Callithrix jacchus: one gene and its partners. The protein of the gene in region 1 interacts with the protein of each later gene in a pairwise test. Links are inferred from orthologs where the notes say so. Each region holds a gene or a part of one and is shown in the gene's direction. Other genes may lie near its edges. The genes, in order: CEP76, THRA and CABP5.

Region 1 (3,646 bases):
TAAACAGTATGAAGGTTGGAGAAGTGAAGAGTCTTCCAAGGCCAAACAGCAACTCAGTCACGGCAAAGTCTATATTAAATTGCAGTTTCAACTGGTGCCTTTTTGGTTTGTGTCACTTTTTTCCATATACATACAGTAAATAAAATGCTGATTTTAGATTCCCCAGAACTGTTTCTTGCTGCTGCTTCCTATATTTGACTAGTTATGAAGTTAAAGAACGATAGTTTAAAGCAGTCAATGTAATTATAAAAGCCATAGTTATAAACCAAAACATTAATATACATGGTTTGAAAAAATTTCCAATGTATCCAGGCCCAAAAGGAAATAAGTTAATGAATGGCAACACTAAAAGTAAAGAACTTTTTGCAACGATGAAAATGTTCTGTGTCTATGCTAACCAGTATTGTAGCCACAAGCCATGTACTGAGCATTCAAAATGTGGCTATTATGACTAAAAAAAATTGAATTTTAAACTTTATTTAATTTTTTTTTTTTTTTTTTTTAAGATGGAGTTTTGCTCTTGTTACCCAGGCTGGAGTGCAATGGCGCGATCTTGGCTCACCACAACCTCTGCCTCCTGGGTTCAGGCAGTTCTCCTGCCTCAGCCTCCTGAGTAGCTGGGATTACAGGCACGCGCCACCATGCCCAGCTAATTTTTTGTATTTTTAGTAGAGACGGGGTTTCACCATGTTGACCAGGATGGTCTTGATCTGTTGACCTTGTGATCCACCCGCCTCGGCCTCCCAAAGTGCTGGGATTACAGGCTTGAGCCACTGCGCCCAGCCATTTTATTTAATTTTAATTAAAATTTAAATAGCTCATAATGGTTAGTGACTTTCTTATCAGACAGTGCCTGTTCAGAGGTTGAAATATTAAATTTTCAAAACACTTAAATAACTTGTGGGGTTGTATTTAGAATAATATTAGAATATTGCTGTAATGAAACAATGATACATGTTACATTCTAAAATGCTACTATTGATGACTGATTTAGGCAAATGCATAGGGTTTTGATGTGTTCATCTTTTCTTGCCTATTAGTGGATTTGTAAGTATAGGAGTAACAGACCCACACAGGAACTGGTTTATTACCTCAATCCTAACCAAAGATCTAGATTCACTGTGGCCATAATACTTAATAATTCATTATTATTTTTATCCTTTGTTAGCTGGTTTTGCTATAGTTTAATAGTAATTCACTGAATGACACCTTTTGAATTTTTTAGTGCAAGAAACTTTAAGTTACAGAAATTGAACTTTAAGGCTCCTAGGTTTTAAGAAAATGTTGTAAATCACTTGAGGATTGAGGATATCCTTTTAATATTTGGTTTGTGATTTCAGGACAATATTCTCATATAACACTAGATTATTAATAATGCTAAATTAATGTAAAAGAAAAACATAGTTCTCTACATCCCCCTCAAATTCAAATAATAATCCTCTGTTTTAAAAAATTGGTGCTTCTAGGCCAGGCATGGTGGCTCACACCTGTAATCCCAGCATTTTGGGAGGTTGAGGTAGGTGGATCACTTGAGGTCAGGAGTTTGAGACCAGCCTGGTCAACAGAGTGAAACCCCGTCGCTACAAAAATTAGCCAGGTGTGGTGGCTCACACCTGTAATCCCAGCTACTCAGGAGGCTGAGGCACAAGAATTGCTTGAACCTGAGGGGCAGAGGTTGCAGTGAGCTGAGATCATGCCACTGTACTCCAGCCTAGACAACAGTGAGACTGTCTCAAAAAAAAAAAAAATTGCTGCTTTCTAGAGTTGAGCACTATAGGTATGAGTGGAATCTAGAGCCAATTTGCTCTGCAACATAAAAATTCATGATCTTGCTGGGTGTGGTGGCTCACGCCTGTAATCCCAGCATTTTGGGAGGCCGAGGTGGGCGGATCACCTGTCGGGAGTTCAAGACCATCCTGACCAACATGGAGAAACCCCTGCCTCTACTGAAAATACAAAATAAGCTGAGCATCATAGTGCATGACTGTAATCCCAGCTACTCGGGAGGCTGAGGCAGGAGAATCTCTTGAACCTGGGAGGCAGAGGTTGTGATAAGCTGAGATCAAGTCATTGCACTCCAGCATGGGCAACAAGAGCAAAACTTAATTTGGAAAAAAAAAAAATCATGATCTTTCTCACTATGATCAAATGTAAATAAGTGAGATTTTTTTTTCCTTGCTAAAGTATGGGATTATATTGGAAAAAGATGTTTTGGTTGTGGAGAAAGACATTAGTGGTTCTGATAATTCAAACAGATGATGTTTCTGTTGGCTGAGTTAGATCTTATGTCCTAAGGAGCCCTATCAGAGTAGAGGGTGGGTCATCTCCAAATCTTGAAGATGGGGCCTTTCACATTGAAGTGGGCCTTTCACATTGCCTTATCAGTAATCATGAAGGTAAACAGATTGTGGGCTTTGGTAATACTAACTGTAAACAGTCATCAGAGACCTTTATATGCACACCAGTTATTCATCACCAACACTAAGATACATCCTGTATTTAGAATAAACTTTCTAGAGCGTTTTTTGAAATTTTGCTTTTAGTTGACCTGGTTAACAAATTATTGCTTCCTGTGGATCTCTAAATTTGAGGCCCTAATGGAAACAAACTAGACTCAAGCTATGATCATTTCTGTTACAGCAGCCAATTGTTAGATTCTATATGGGAATATGAAAGATACTTCAGTTTAGAGCACCTCTCCCTCCCCTACATACCTGCCCACCCATTTCTCAGAGGACTTCTTATTGCCACAGCCTTTGGAGTCAGACAGCTCAGGGCTTAAATGTGGCTCTGCTGCATAATAGCTGTAGCTCCTCAGTTTTCTTTATCTGTCAAATGAAAATAATAGAGATGTTATGATGATTAAAGGGAAATTATATACACAGCACTTTGCAACCTAATACTGGATACAAGGTAAGCACTCAATGGTATGCTGAATTATTTTATCCTACATTAATGTATTTGAAAAAAAAATATTATTGGGGATTATTAATATGTCATTATCGATATTTTTTCCCTTTTCCCTAGGATGAAAATGGGATAAATAGACCAGTCTGTTCCTATGTTAAACCACTTAGAGCTGGACGGCTTCTTGATACTCCAAGGCAAGCAGCAAGATTTGTTAATGTCCTTGGTTATGAACGAGCCCCTGTTATTGGAGGAGGAGGTAAACAGGAGCAGTGGTGCACTCTGCTGGCCTTTCTCTGTAGAAACAAGGTATTATACACACATAATAGAATTAAATAGCAGTATATCATAGTTACTCTAAATTTATAATACATTTGTAAAGGAATGCCTTAGGAAAATGTACATATAGTGAGCCCGCTCTACCTGCGGGTTCTGTATCTGTGGATTCAACCAACTGAAGATCAAAAATATTTATAAAAATAATAGTAAAAAATAACATAATAAAAAATATACAAATAAAGAACAAGTATAAAACTATTTATATAGCATTTACATTGTATTGAGTGTTTTTTCTTTTTTTTTTGAGATGGAGTCTTACTTTGTCATCCAGGCTAGAGTATAGTGGTGTGATCTCGTCTCACTGCAACCTCTGCCACCAGGGTTCAAGAAATTCTCTGCTTCAGCCTTCCAAGTAGCTGGGACAGGTGCCTGCTACCATGCCCAGCTACTGTTTGTAATT
Region 2 (4,075 bases), on another chromosome or scaffold:
GACTGTGTAGCAGGGCCCCACCCTGAGAGCCGTGGGAAGGCTGTGGCCCCCACTGGTAAAACTGGGCTAATGACAGCAGGGGAACCGGCGGGGCCAGGGGCGTGCTGGGGTAATTAGGGCTTGGCCTGGAACTGGGAGATCCCGAGATGAAAGGGGCTCTGGCGTCACTGGGTTGGTTTTATGTCCATGAATTGCAGATGCGTGTGTGTGTGTGTGTTGTGTGTGTGTGTGTTGCGTGTGTGTGTATGTGTGCTGGGGGTGGGGCTGGCACAGTGGAAACCTCTCCTTTGGGTTGGATTAGGGGGTCCATTTGTATGCAGCCCACCGGCTTCCTTAGATTGACTCTGGTACCATTTGGATTTTGGTGGGAGCAAACACGGGGGGAAATACCACCACCCAGGAGCTAGGAATTGAGGGGGTATGGCAAATCTTGTCCCCTCCCCGAGGTGAGGAGAGGGAGCAGATTGTTGGGGAAATGGCTGGTGACAGAGAATAGAAAGAGCCTATATGGAGAAGGGTGATGTTGGAAAGGGGAGGCAGTGGATCGGTATCGATGTTAGAAATGAGAGGGGAGGGAGGTACTGAGCCCACACAAGGATTAAAAACACAGGATGATTGAAGTTAAAAGGACGTCAGGGGTGATCTGCCCAGCCTTCGCGGCTGAAGCTTGAGGAAGCTCTGCCCCGACAGCAGTGGTGGTTTGTCAAGGTCACACAGTGAGTTACTGGCGGAGAAGGGACCCGAACTCCTAAACAAACTCTACACCTGCAAGCGTTTGGTGTTTAGGCTTTCTCCTCATGTGTAAGGTGCAGGCGGCTCCTCGGTACTTTCTTCCCCACCCCATGGTGCAAACCCGAAAACCCCCAATTCTCCCGGCAAGCAAAGGCTATTTTTTAATGACATCTCTTCCAAAATATGTCACCAAGTACCCACTCCTGCGGGAGCCGCCCGGCGGGGGAGGGTGAGTCCGAGCGGGGCGGGGCAGGGGCGGCCGAGGGGCTGCCGGGCCGCTGGCGGGGGTCCCGGGGCGCGGCAGGGGGCGGGGGGCGGGGGCGGGCGGTGGCGAGGCGGCCTGCAGGGAGCAGCCGCGAGCCGGCCGGGCGCGCGGAGCCCGAGCCCCAGCCGGAGCGGGGCGGGGGAGGGAGGAGCCAGAGCGGCCGCCGCCTCTGCCGGAGGAGCCGCGGGGCCGCCACACTCGCCCCCCGCCCCCCCCCCGCGTTCACTCGCACTCACACCCGGGCGCAGGAGGCGGGCGGCCCGGGCCCCACCGGCCCCCCATGGACGCCCACGGCACTGGGCGCTGAGACCCCCGCGTCGCTGCCCAGCCCGGTCCAGCGCGCCACGCCGAGGTAAGGAGGAGGGAGCGAGGGGGCATTAATATGCAAATGCCTCGCGATTGATTATGCAAAGCCGCGGGGCTCCGTGGCCAGCTCCCAGGCGGGCCAGGGTCGCCCAGGGCGTACCCGCTGTCAGCCTCAGCCTTTCCCGGCGCCCCAGTGACCCTGTCACGAGCCCAGGAGCTTGCAGCTGACGCCCTGGGGAAGGGAGGTGTTGCTTGGAGGTCGGTGGGCCCGGGGGTTTGCAGGCGGAGATGGCGTCCGGGCCTCCCCCTCGACGTCCCGCCCGGCCTCTGTCCGGCCAGCCTGCTGCGCATTCCCGGGCCAAGCCCCGTTGCCGGCCGCCGGAGCTCCCCCGCCCGCCGCTCCGCGGTTTGTTTACGGTGCGTCGGAGGCCTGCCCCCCCCAGCCCCCACCCCTAGCCTTTGAGGCCGAGTAGCCTTTGCAAAGCTGCCTCCAGCTGCGGAGGGCAGTATGAGTGCGGTGGCGGGGGTGGGCTTGCATGGGTCCAGGGAGAGGGAAGTTACCCCCCTTCACCCGCCTTCCAGTGGAGCATGGCTGTCTGGTTGCAACACTCTAATTGCAAAAACGCTGCTGCTGGGGGGAATGTGTGTGTGGAGGGGGTGCACTTGATGGTGCCTAGATGATTAGGAGAGTTGCTGGCTGGGGAGGAGAGGGAGAAATGGACCTGTGTGTGTGTACCCCACCTTTTTCCCTCCCCTTGCAACGTGTCTCTGGTTCCCCTTCTCCATCTGGGGCCCTCCCTTGCCCAGCGTGAAAGAAAGGCCTGGGGGGATGACAGGGGCAATTGAAAGAGCCACCGGTCCAGAGGTGGGGGTGGGGGACACAGAAGGAAAGCCAGTGAGATGGGAGCCTGCCCCTCAGTGCTGGCTTCATCTCCAAGAGGGGGAGGGGATGAAGGGGGCTGTTGTCCAAGATGGGGGGAAAGCAAAAGTGACACGCAGACACAGAGATATGTCCACACAGACAGCCACAGGCATACCCAGGGACACCCAGGCGGACTCAAGGACAGGAGCTGCTGGACACACCCACATGGGGACAAGGGAAGAGGCAGGCTGCTGCTGCACCCTGGAGCTCAGGGGGTGGGACATACCCACGGGAGACCAAAAGCATGGAGACCGACCCATGGCACATACCTACGCACAGGGTCACACGGAGAGGCTGTCACACACGGGCAAGGAGGAGTTGCTGTCACCCACACAGAAAAAGTCACTGTCACATGCATGCATGCACACAGAGCAATTGCACACAGCCGCACAATTACAAAAGACCCTGTCACTCACAGGCACACACGTGCTCACATAAGCCCAGTCACACAGTCATCATTGCTTGCCGTGACAGTAGCTGTCACTCAGTCAGATGCAAACACAGTTATACATCAACACATGTATACACAACTTAGCAACAAGTATTTTCCTGGACTCTTACTGTGGAGCTCTGAGGTTCTGTAGACAAGAAAACCCTTGCTCCCAAGAAAATTAAATTTGGCTGTATGAAAAGGTGTTGCTGCGTAATGGTGCAAAGCATGCATTCCCGATGACATGTTTTTGGTCTCTGTTGCTTGACATACCAACCCTACTAGACAGTGAGCTCTTGGAGACCTGGGAGAATCATTTGAAGAGCTCCGGATCGCACCCAGAGCCTAGCACAATGGCTGCTTTGTAACTACTTGTTAGTTGATTGACTGTGGAACCTGCGGACACAGGTGCACTCATTTGCACATGGGCCCCTGAACTCAGGTACAGAATGAGTTCACAGGGCCCAGGTCCACACAAACAGTCGTGTCCACATAATTCCAGATGCACACAACTGTAGCCTGTGCAGCCAAGCACACACCTAGATGCACACAATCACAGACTTTTCCCTTTCAGCTTCTTCCTGCCTTCTTCCTCTAGGCCCAGCCACTCTGTGGGAATGGGCTTTTTTTTTACTTTTATTTTCTTTTGGAGGGTCAGAGAAACAAGAGCAAAGACGGAGGGTGCAGGGGGGTTCCAGAAGGCCGAGTATGGGGCTCAGAGCATGTCCAGGGACTTCTAGAAGCTGGGATTCTCTTGACTTCTGGGTGAGGGGAGAGCTGCACTCATCCCGAAAAGCTCAGGGATATCAAACTGCCCATGCTCTGAGTCATTTGCCCGGGCCTTTCCTGGGAACACTCAGTCACCCCCAGCTGAGTTCCTGCATCCCACCTTGAGTCTGGCCGCCCCTCTTGTCACCTGGACCCTGCTACCCAAACTTGGAAGCTTTCCTTAAGAGGCCATCGGCTGGCGACTGTCTGCATGAGTGATGTGTATTTTTGACTTGGAATTTCTCTCTAACTCTCTCTTTCTGTTGCTCTGTCTTGCAGTGTCTGATTCTCTCTCTCTCTCTCTCTTTCTCTCTCCCCTTCTCTGCCAGTCTGTAACTCTCTCTCATCCTGTCGCTACCCCTGTCTACCCCTGTCCTTGTCTCAGAGCTGGGGACTGGCAGTGATGTTCTTCATACTTTTCCCGTTGTTAATACCCAATCTCCGCCCCTCTGCCCCCCCACCCCCCCACCCGCTACACCAGGCAGCCTCTGGGGTCAGCTTAAGGTTGGTGTGGGGGGCCAGGGGGGTGGGCTCAGCTGGCTGCTCAGGACTTCCTGCACTTCCTTACTGCTGCAGCTGTGGCCAGCAAGTTTTAGGGACTGGGAATGGGGAAAGGGAGGGGGGACAGCCACTGCCCATGCTGCCCCTCGGG
Region 3 (4,370 bases), on another chromosome or scaffold:
CTGAGACGGCGCAGCAGTCGCCGGCGGTGGCCTCGCACCAGGGCGCACGCGTCCAGGTCCCGGGCCGCCTCGAAGGCGCGGAAGCGGACCCACATATCGCGTCGGGGCTCCCAGTTGCGCTCGAAGTAGTCGACGAAGGCGGCCGGGCCGTGGGTGTGCAGCTCGGCCAGCGCCTCGTCGTAGGCGGCGGGCGACGACGCGCCGGCCAGGCGGCACAGGCGCGACCACAGGCCCGGGTCCTCGCGGCCAGCGCCGCCCAGCTCCTGCGCCTTGCTGAAGAGCGTCTCCAGGCCCTGAGCGCGGCAGATCTGCACGCGCGCGCAGGGCAGCAGCTGGCGCACGGCAGGCAGCTGTGCCGCCACCTCCGGCCCGGCGGTGAGGCAGCGCACGCGGCCTTTGACGTCTGGCGCACTCTGCAGCAGCGACGCGAGCGCGAAACGCAGCAGGCTCGGCGTGCCCGGGCGCGCCACGCAACAGGCAGCCTGGCGCGCACGGCCCGCGCCGTCCACGCACAGCACGGCCAGCAGATCCAGCGCGCCCTGCAGCCCCGGCAGCCGGTCCACCAGCAGCATGCGCGGGAAGCGCCGCAGCAGCGCCCTGGTGCGCGACGTCAGGAAGAACACCGTCTCCACCACCGCCTGGTCCTCCACGAACACCAGCTTCACCTGCGGGCGGGGACAGGGAGGTAAGGAAAGAGGTCAGAGGATGCTGGGGTCTCCCCGCCCAGCTCCTCGACCTCGGTTTCCCCTCCTAGGGAAATGGGAACTGATTCATTCTTGCCTGCATATGCGTTTATTCTTTTGAGCGGCAGGGGGCAGTGCAGGGAAATGGTAAAAAACAGAGACTCTCGCGGTGGTTCACGCCTGTAATCCCAGCACTTTGGGAGACCGAGGCATGCGGATCACTTTAGGTCAGGAGTTTGAGACAGCCTGGTCAATATGGTGAAACCCCCGTCTCTATTAAAAATACAAAAAAGTAGGTTGCAGTGAGCCAATTTTCTTTTTTTCTTTCTTTCTTTCTTTCTCTTTCTCTTTCTTTCTTTCTTTCTTTCTTTCTTTCTTTCTTTCTTTCTTTTCTTTTCTTTTCTTTCGAGACAGAGTCTCACTTTGTCAGCCAGGCTGGAGTGCAATGATGCAATCATAGCTCACTGCAGCCTCGAACTCCTGGGCTCAAGCAATTCTCCTATCTGAGCCTTTGGAACAGCTGGGAGTACAGGTGTGTGCCACCATGCAAGGCTAATTTTTATTTTAGTTTTTTATATATATAAATACAAGGTCTCTGTATGTTGCTCAGGCTGGTCTCAAACTCCTGGGCTCAAGCAGTCCTCCCACCTCAGCCTCCCAAAGCCCTGGGACTACAGACATGAGCAGCGCATCCAGCCTCTAAACCCCATTTTAAAAATGCACCTTCCAATTCCACTCTGGGGATAAAGGAGTCACAGAGCCTGACTTTGGCTCTCCCTACCCATATCATTCAAGCCAGATGGGGAGGCAGGGACAGCTCTGATCCCTCCCCAACCCGGGTGGAGATTTTCAGCCCAGCTGTCACAGCTCTAAGACACAGGGACCAAGAGAGAAGCCAGGAGAGGCAGGAAGAGGTGGCAAAGGAGTGCTAGAGAAGATAAGGAGGCTGAGCTCCAACAAGGAGCAGGGAGGAGGAGCATCTTGAGACTGGTGCCCTGCGAGCTCCACCCCACCCCTCCATGCAGTTTCCCATGGGCCCCGCCTGCATCTTCTTGAGGAAAGGCATCGCTGATAAACAGAGGGTGAGGTGGGGAGTGAAGGGGAAAGGCTGTGGGCAGGGCAAGCGGACCAGAGGTGTGGGACAAAGAAGGGGACATGATGGTGCTACAGAACCAGGGGAACAGGTGGATAGAGCAGGAACTGAGAAGGTACAAGAATTCCAAGGACCCTCATGGGGTCATGTAAGCCAGTGAGATAAATGGGTGGGGGTAAAATCAGAAGTCAGGAGCAAAGAGAAGGAGAGAAAGGGAAGAAAAACAATCAGGGAAGTGAGATGATGTCATTGTTGAGATTACCATCATTCTTTTCTATGGATGCTTATTGTGATAACGGCAGTGATGACGATGGTGATGATGGTGGTGGTGATGGTGATGATTATAATGGTGATGGTAGTGATGGTGGTGGTGATGGTGATTATAGTGATGATGGTGGTGGTGATGATGGTGATGGTGGTAGTGATGGTGATTATAATGGTGATGGTAGTAATGATGGTGGTAGTGATGGTGTTGATGGTGATGGTGGTGGTGATGGTGATGATGGTGTTGGTGGTAGTGGTGATGGTGATTATAGTGATGATGGTGGTAATGGTGGTGATGATGGTGGTGGTAGTGATGGTGATGGTGGTGGTGGTGATGGTGATTATAATGGTGATGGTAGTAATGATGGTGTTGATGGTGATGATGGTGATGGTGGTGGTGATAGTGATGATGGTCATGGTGATGATCGTGTTGATGAATGTGATGATGGTGATGATGATGGTGGTGGCGATGGTGATTATAGTGATGATGGTGGTGGTGATGGTGGTGGTGATAATGGTGGTGGTGATGGTGGTGGTGATGATGGTGATGGTGATGGTGATGATGATGATGTTAATAACAATAGCTGCCACTTATTAAGTCATTGCTTATTGCCCAGCACTGTGCAAAGGGATTTGCACGTTTGATGTCATTTATGCCTCAGAACAACTCGGGAGGTCAGTGACTTTCATTCCCATTTTATAGGTGAGGAAAGTGAAGCTCCGAGTCATGAAGTCCTTTGCCTTAAGCTGACACAGTTAGTATGTGGCAGGGTTGGCCAAGTACAGGCTCATACCTGAATCCCAGCACCTTGAGAGGCAGAAGCAGGAGGATCACTTAAGTCCAGGAGTTCGAGACCAGCCTGGGATACACAGAGAGATCCCATCTCTACTTAAAATACAAAACAAACAAAAAAAATAGCTGGGCTTGGTGGCATGCATCTGCAGTCTCTGCTAGTCAGGGGGCTGAGGCAAGGGGATCATTCAAGCCCAGGAAGTGGAGGCTGTAGTGAGCCCTGATCATGCCGCTGCACTCCAGCCTGGGCAACAGAGTGAGACTCTGTCTCAAAAAAAAAAAAAAAATAGTAAATGGTAGGGTCAGGTCTGCTTGATTCCTGTGGGCATGCTTAAAAAAATTTTTTTTAATTTAATTAATTTCTAAATTTTTCCATATACACCAACTTGTCCAGATATGTGGATATGTTTTAATTGTTAGGCTTTAAGATCACGAAAAAAAGAAAATGAAAAAAAGAGAAATAAGGGATCGCAGGGAGGGGATGAGATGAAAGACAAGCTGAGGGAAAGGCTCTGGGATAAAGGGAGATGAGGGGGTGAGAGGCCATTAGAATTTCCTTGTTAACATGTCATGTCTATCTAAGCCCAACCCTTCAGGTATGTCCAGGAGTAGGTGGGGCAACTGGAAATTCTCAGAGTGTTTAGGAGTTGGTCGTACTGGCACTGACCCTCCTGCCTGAATGCCATTGAATGCTGGTTCCATGCACAGGGATTGTAACCTTTGGCAGGAAGATTGGAGGCAGGTGAGAAAAGAGTTAATGGGGATTAGTGTGAAGAATTCTGACTTCAGAGTCAGGAGCCCTGAATTCTAATCCCAAAGTTGTGCCTGACTTGCCCCATGACCTCCAGGGAGTAATTTAATGTTTCCCCACCTTGGGAGGGGATCTGCCGCTTGTGAGCTGTGTGACCTTGGGCAGGCTCCTTAACCTCTCTGTTCCTCAGCTGTCTCGTGGGTAAGATGGAAACGAGACGTAGATCCGAATCACAGAGCAGTTCTGAGGTTTAAATGAAACAATCGTGGAAACCGCCTGGCACGGAGTCAGCACTCTGAACGAGTTAGCTGTGGTTATGAACTCTGACTTTCTTCATCTGGAGAAGGAGGGGATTGGACTCTGCAGTGTTAAGATGCAATGTGATGGGTATTTGCCCATGAAAGGGGGAATGAGGGAGATCAGCATTCGTGGATAGGAGCGAGGAATCCAGAGGGGTGGGGAGCCAAGAACTGTGGAGTAGGAGTGAGGAGATGAGAAAAGAAATGGGAGGGATGGAGGAGGAGAAAGAGAGTGGGAAGAGAACCACGAGAGGGTGAGGAGGAGCTTGAGAGAGCAAGGGGACCCGTTTGGGGAATGGGTGACCCTCTCTCTAAATTCCCTCTCACCTGCATTCCTTTCCAGGAAAGACCACTGGGACAAGATGAGATCGAAGGTAACACCGTCTTCCTCAATTGCCCCACGTTGCCATCCACCCACCTGACCTGCCCTCAGTCCCTTTGTGCATTTCTGAATAAATTCCTTTACATGGAATTTTTACAGTCCCTG

Evidence for each region.
Region 2: the proteins of CEP76 (region 1) and THRA interact in binary tests that used the Homo sapiens proteins (3 or more experiments, as listed by UniProt). The two-hybrid records come from large-scale screens. The link is inferred for Callithrix jacchus from reciprocal best matches to the Homo sapiens genes CEP76 and THRA.
Region 3: the proteins of CEP76 (region 1) and CABP5 interact in binary tests that used the Homo sapiens proteins (3 or more experiments, as listed by UniProt). The link is inferred for Callithrix jacchus from reciprocal best matches to the Homo sapiens genes CEP76 and CABP5.

What each region holds. Positions count from the first base shown.
Region 1 is NC_133514.1:49,812,106-49,815,751, forward strand, and holds part of CEP76 (centrosomal protein of 76 kDa), read left to right. Parts: intron 1-2,714; exon of another isoform or gene 2,715-2,828; intron 2,829-3,027; coding exon 3,028-3,216; intron 3,217-3,646. UniProt on the Homo sapiens protein: Centrosomal protein involved in regulation of centriole duplication. Required to limit centriole duplication to once per cell cycle by preventing centriole reduplication.
Region 2 is NC_133506.1:71,671,114-71,675,188, forward strand, and holds the start of THRA (thyroid hormone receptor alpha), read left to right. Parts: upstream 1-1,217; 5' UTR 1,218-1,349; intron 1,350-4,075.
Region 3 is NC_133523.1:41,886,257-41,890,626, reverse strand, and holds the start of CABP5 (calcium-binding protein 5), read left to right. Parts: upstream 1-1,556; 5' UTR 1,557-1,702; coding exon 1,703-1,765; intron 1,766-3,466; exon of another isoform or gene 3,467-3,512; coding exon of another isoform or gene 3,513-3,575; intron 3,576-4,226; coding exon 4,227-4,257; intron 4,258-4,370. UniProt on the Homo sapiens protein: Inhibits calcium-dependent inactivation of L-type calcium channel and shifts voltage dependence of activation to more depolarized membrane potentials. Involved in the transmission of light signals.